Nothobranchius furzeri: one gene and its partner. Each later gene encodes a partner of the first gene's protein in a complex. Links are inferred from orthologs where the notes say so. Each region holds a gene or a part of one and is shown in the gene's direction. Other genes may lie near its edges.

Region 1 (2,708 bases):
CCGACGTCTGCCTGGACAGCATCGAAGTGATGGAAAAGCTCAACACCATGTTCTCAGGTGCGGCGCTACAGGCCCCTGCAGGTGGAGGAGTGAGAAAACTCAGTCTCTTGTTTTGAATGTGTTTGTTTTTTGACAGGATATGCCGCCATGCCTCCCACTTGTTTCATTCTGTGTGGGAACTTCTCCTCCGCTCCTTTTGGGAAAACGCAGATTAAAGCGCTCAAAGGTGAGGCCGTTGGGTCAGAAACCGTTCACCTACACCTCCTAAAGACGGACTCAGAGTCATTTTATTGAGCTTTAAAGTCAACACACACAGCTTTTTGACACTGTCGGCAAATATCTTCCCGCTTTCGCTTAACAGGTTAATCATGCAGCTGAACTGGAGCACTAAGTGTGGACAGCTCAAAGAAAATAAATCTGAAATCAGCCCAATCCTAGTGCATAAAAACAACATTGTCTTTTCTCAGATTCACTGAAGACCCTTGCTGATGTTATAAGTGCATATCCCAGCATTCACAGCAGGTAGGATTGGCCCACTTTTCTTATTTTTTATTTTTTATCTTCAGTGTGTTTGAACTAAAGTGTTCCTTCTAAACCTGCAGTAGTCGCTTTGTGTTTGTTCCCGGTCCCAAAGACCCGGGTCCAGGCACAATCCTACCGCGGTACGTTCTCAAACACGTCTCATTTGTTAAAATTTCCTTCGTTCTTTGGATTAATCTGAATTTTTCCCACAGGCCTCCCTTGGCAGACCACATCACAGAAGAGTTCAGACAGAGAGTCCCCTTTTCTGTGTTCACGACCAATCCCTGCAGGTAAAACGAACACGTAACTGTTTCAAATGGGAAAAGTAAATTAAAAAAAAACTGCACCTATTTAAAGAGCAAGTCACCCACAAATCTACTTTTTTTTTTTTTTTTGCTGATAAACCATATAAACGAGTGTCTAATCGTGCCGTAGACACGTGTAATCGATAATTTGGGACTTTAGTGCATCTTAGTTAAATTTTAAATTTTCTGCCTGTCGTCTTTAGGTTAATAACTCTGCACTGAACTGCGTTTAAATTTAAATCTGCCATCGCTATTGGCTAAGACTATGACATTAGCTGGTACATTATGATGTCACAATGTCATTGTGAGCCTGAGTATGTGTGTGTTTGTTGGTTGCTCCGCCCTCTTGGTCTGCCAAGCAACCTCATATGTTGCATTTTTCAAACATGAAGTGGGAGTGGAGTGAGACTGGTAGGGGGTGACTTGCTCTTTAAGGGTTTTCGTTGCTAAATTGTTTTTTTTAAACTGACCTGTTTAGAGTTCAGTACTGCAGCCAAGAGATCGTCATCATCAGAGAAGATCTGGTCAACAAGATGTGCAGGAATTGTGTCCGTTTGCCAAACAAAAATCTCGACATCCCAAACCACGTGAGGCTCATTTTCTCCCCCAAAGCGTGTTCATGCATTATCCCAAAAAGATCAGATGCTTCTGAGAAGATGGGAGTTAAAAATAGAAATCCAAAACTTTTTAATTTAATTGTTTTCTTCTGTTTAGTTCGTAAAGACCATCCTATCCCAGGGCCATTTATCCCCACTGCCTCTGTACGTCAGTCCCGTGTTCTGGGCCTACGACTTCTCCCTGCGGGTCTATCCGGTGCCTGATGCCATAATTTTTGCAGACAAGTACGACCCCTTCAGCATCACCAGCGCTGACTGCCTCTGTTTCAACCCGGTACAAGAAGCAGGAAACTCAAATAACATGATTTTTGTTAATGTGTTTACTTTTAGTCACTAAGGTATTTTATTTGTTTCTGTTTATATTTTTTGTCCTCAGGGTTCTTTTTCAAAAAGTGGCTTCACGTTTAAAGTGTACTATCCATCTAGCCGGACCGTGGAGGACAGGTGGGATGAAATCTGACATATCGTTGCATATTTAATACTGGTCCTAACCAATATTCGTGTTCATAAGTTAAAGTTGTATTTTTTTCTTTTCACAGCAAACTTCAAGACCTTTAGAGAAAATGATGGGCTTTGTTTTTACCTTGTGTGATATTTGTGTTGTATCTTAGTAAATCAAACATGTTTGTAACAGTTTTTATTTAAAATAAAGGTTTTATTCTTTGCTGAGTTTTCCTGTACTTTAATGTTTATAGAGAGCTCTCTGAGGAAGCTCATTTAATGAAAATAAACAATTGTTTTTGAAATTTACATAAAAAATATTTATATAAGAAATTTTCTTCATATTTTTTCATTAAATGTTTGCAAAATAGGTAAATAATTTAACTATTTTAAAAAGCTTCGTGCAAATAATCAACTAGTGAATTTTTATGTTTAATGATGAACTTGTATATTATTCCTAATGCAATGTTAAAGACTCTTTGTTTTTCCATTGAAGGTAATTTCTGGTATCACTATTTCTCAAATCGACACACTGAATTTTCATTTCTATATATCTATTTAACTAATATGGTCATAGACATGAATTGTAATTTAGTGTTTTAAATGTTTACTCTGAAGTTATATACCAAAAATACCCTCAGTAGAAAGTATGGATTACCACTCTTTGATTAAGATGACCCAGATGTTTTATATAGTGGAGGTAAAAAAAAAATATAATAACATTAGTAAATCAAATCATCTTATTTTCAATGCTGATTTCCATTCATCTTTAGGGTGTTTTCTGTAAAATATAACTATTGAGCATCCTCAAAGACATTTTTTT
Region 2 (3,758 bases), on another chromosome or scaffold:
AAGGTGAGTTAAATGATAATTATATATAGTTAAATCAAATATAACATAAATGAAAGGGTTTTACCTGGGAGCTGTGGGTCCTTCATGTCTGTTCCCGGAGGCTTTGACGCCGGACTGTGTCCTTACGTGTGAAGAGATCCTCAGAGGGCTAAAGCACTCCTCCCAATCCTATTAATACTGTGTATTAGTGGCCTGATCATCATGTCCTCTGGCACAAACTGACCTCATAAAAATGCTGAAAACATACTTTTGAAGACTAAAGCACCTATGTACCTAAGCATATAGCACATAATGTTGGTTATTTGTTGGTGATTATATTAAAACAGCTGTTCTTAGAATAAACTTCATCTGCATACGAGTTTTAAACAAACGGTGAATATGATGTTCGTTAATTAGGTAATACTGTATAACTTCAGGAAAATCTTAATTTTTGTGATTGTTTGTCCTAAGAAATATATTTTTACAGATAGTTAGACCTATATGGAAACTATTGCCCTACAGATGTCAAGGAAGTAAAAGGTCAAAATGGCATTTATAAAAATATATATATATATATTTGGACTATCAGAGGGGTGTTGTGTGTAGTCAGTATTTAAACAGAGTTTAAGGCAGCTAATTTAGGAAATGTAGTCAGTTTCCCCCCCAGCAATCTAAATCCAGCAGCATGACTAAAGTGATGAGTTACTCAAATTTACCCTAACTGTAACATGTTTTATCTGAGAGTATAAGGATGGATCCTGGTCCAGAATAACACCAAGGATCCTGTCACTAGTACTGGAGGCCAAGTGAATGTCTTCAAGCTGTGATCTTAAAACTCTCAGGTCCAAAAAATACAGCCAATGTCTTCTCTGAACATGGAAATAGAAAAGTAAGAGTCTTTCAGGTCTTTAAGACATGTTTGTAATCTGATTACCTGGTTGGATTTTGTCCATCTCTTGACAATGATCAGCTAAGAATGATGGAGGTGGTGATGATGATGGTGTAAGCAGAGATTTAACAAAGAGACACTATTTCACTTACACATACTTTTTTCCAGAAACGTAAAATTGCTATTGTGATATAAGGCTCTTATCTGCCAACATTGTACTTTAAAAAGTAAACTGCAGGGAATTGATTTCAGTAGTTTGGTGTCTTCAGCGCCTTTTACCGCCCTCCAGTGGACCACTTGTGAGCTGACCCCAACTTATTTTTACTGTTTTTAATTTCTCATAATGTAGAAAAATAAAAATCACAACATTAAAACCTCTAATGCGTGAATTAAAACTAGAAATATCGCCACACAGCGTCACCAAATTGTACATTCACTCCAGAATCTTGCTGCTACATATTTTGACTGACGTCAATTCTAACCAATGACAAGGCATCCTTTAACAATTGTCCAATCACAGACGAGTATTTGTTGGCGGGGTCTGAGCTTTTGACCAATAAACACCATTCGCTCCACGATGTACCGGAAGCACATGCTGGCTCGAGGCGGTTGATGTTGTTGTCTGGGACGTGTAAAATGAGAGATATTCGAGTGTTTTTATAACAGCAAAACACGATTGTGAGGCCATAGGAAATGTCATCAGCAACGCCCGTTCCCTCGGCGGAGCTCGAAGCTGAGCGGTGCGGGAGTGAGGAGGAGAACCGTGCTGTGGAGGCAGAGGACCGGGGTCAGCAGCTGACAGGCCCGGCCGTCGTGCCCCATAACCGTCTGTCCAAACTCCCGCTGGCCCGCATCAAAGCTCTGATGAAGACGGATCCAGACGTGTCCTTGGCTAGCCAGGAGTCTGTGTTCATCATCGCTAAAGCTACGGTAAAACGGTTTACTCAGTAAGAAGGTCAATGTTTTCATGTCACGTCCCCCACGTTTTATCTAGAATAAACCTTTTAGTCCACAAAATAGTTAATATAAACCAATTGCCATTGTTTAATGCAAAACACACGTGTTAGTTTCAGGTAAAATACACCAAACCTACAAGTTTGACCTAATTTTCCCTTTTTTCCAGGAGTTGTTTGTTGAGATGATTGCCAAAGATGCTATGGTGTATGCTCAGCAAGGAAAGAGGAAAACTTTACAAAGAAAAGACTTGGGTAAGAGCTGAAACATTTCAAAGTGACTTCAGAAATTGATTCCTTTTATTTTGATACATTTTTTAAAGTCATTTTTAAGAGTATTTCGAAATTAAGAATACTTCTAGCAACATAATTTTATAGAAACAAATATTGCTACATCAAGAGGAGCCAGTTAAGGTGGCTCGGGCATCTGGTTAGGATGCCTCCCTGGACACCTCCCTGGTGAGGTTTTCTAGGCATGTTCAACTGGGAGGAGACCTAAAGGAAGGCCCAGGACACGCTGGATGTTTTTGGGCTGGCCAGGGAACGCCTTGGGATTACCCTGGAGGAGCTAGCCCAAGTGGCTGGGTAGAGGGAAGTCTGGGCCTCTGTTTAGGCTGCTGCCCCAGCGACCCGACCCCGGATAAGCGGACGAAGTTGGATGCTACGTATTTGTGTATCTCCATGAAAAGTGGAAGTGCTAGAGAATATAATGACTTTAAAAGTCATGTTGTTCAAAACAAAATGGTGATTATATATAAAGAAGGAAGCTTTAGTTAGGTTGATAGAAATCACTAAGTGCCTCCTGATTTTTATTTCGAGAGGCACTATATAAAAGCTTGTTTCTTCTTCATTACTCAGTAGCTAAAAAGCAGTATTTATGTTAATAATAATGTTATAATTTCATCTGGTGGAGAAAACACTTTAAACAGGCATGAAGTGATTCAGTTTTAACAATATTAATAATAATAATAAATGAAAATATTAATTGCACACTCTTCTACTTTTCCTCCACAGACAATGCAATAGAGGCCATAGATGAGTTTGCATTTCTTGAAGGTAAATCATAAAAAAAGACATGAAACAATCCTGCAAAGTTTTGCAAATTATTCCATGTCATCTTTTGACTCTGGTATTTTAACTTCACCCACATGCAGATGTGTTTGTGTGTCTTATCATGTTGACCTCTTTCCTCTACAGGAACACTGGATTAAAGATTTTTTATAAGACCACATTAAAAAGATCCTCAACTGTCTAAAATGTGTTTCATTGTTGAATCACAGAACATTTTTTCTAAGTCAACCTCACAGATTGATTAAATGTTTTTATATGACAAGCTCTAACTTTGAATTTGTCTGATATTGTGTAAATGGTTTTGTAAATATGTGAGTAATGTTACTGGAAAATGGAATAAACTTTTGTTTTAACAACACATTTTCATCTTGTGTGGAAACTGCAGAAATATACAATTCCCAGTAATGGAGTTTTTAACAGAATTGTACAATTATAACATAATTAATTGAAGGTTGACTTTTTTGTTTTAAAAACACTTTTCTTTTATTGGTTGGATAAAATATGCAAATTTTTTTAGATAGGGATTTTGGGTTTTCATGAGCCGTATGCCAAAATCATCAATATTAGAAACAATGAAAGGCTTGAACTACTTCAGTTGTGTGTAATGAATCTAATATATATGAAAGTCTGTTAATCTGTACATTACAGAAAATAATGAACTTCATCACAATATGCTTATTTTTTAGAAGGACCTGTATCTGCTGTATTTGGGATCATTGTCCCATTTCAGGACCCAGTTTTTCCAGGTGTGGCAAAACAATTTAGATTTCAAATGTCACAACAAACTTGGCAGAGATGACAAAGCTGCTAATAACAACTACTCTTATTAGCTTATCTTAATTTACACAAGTTTATCATATAAATGG

Evidence for each region. The genes of interacting proteins can lie anywhere in the genome.
Region 2: pole2 (region 1) and pole4 share a complex: the UniProt entries of both Homo sapiens proteins name them as parts of the DNA polymerase epsilon complex. The link is inferred for Nothobranchius furzeri from reciprocal best matches to the Homo sapiens genes POLE2 and POLE4.

Annotation. Positions count from the first base shown.
Region 1 is NC_091758.1:27,026,636-27,029,343, forward strand, and holds the end of pole2 (DNA polymerase epsilon subunit 2), read left to right. Parts: coding exon 1-57; intron 58-136; coding exon 137-226; intron 227-467; coding exon 468-522; intron 523-602; coding exon 603-662; intron 663-734; coding exon 735-812; intron 813-1,305; coding exon 1,306-1,414; intron 1,415-1,541; coding exon 1,542-1,718; intron 1,719-1,820; coding exon 1,821-1,888; intron 1,889-1,983; coding exon 1,984-2,002; 3' UTR 2,003-2,113; downstream 2,114-2,708. UniProt on the Homo sapiens protein: Accessory component of the DNA polymerase epsilon complex. Participates in DNA repair and in chromosomal DNA replication.
Region 2 is NC_091748.1:55,970,084-55,973,841, reverse strand, and holds pole4 (DNA polymerase epsilon subunit 4), read left to right. Parts: upstream 1-1,439; 5' UTR 1,440-1,561; coding exon 1,562-1,798; intron 1,799-1,991; coding exon 1,992-2,076; intron 2,077-2,835; coding exon 2,836-2,877; intron 2,878-3,018; coding exon 3,019-3,032; 3' UTR 3,033-3,250; downstream 3,251-3,758. Other genes in the region: serine/threonine-protein kinase NIM1, read right to left, coding at 65-86. UniProt on the Homo sapiens protein: Accessory component of the DNA polymerase epsilon complex. Participates in DNA repair and in chromosomal DNA replication.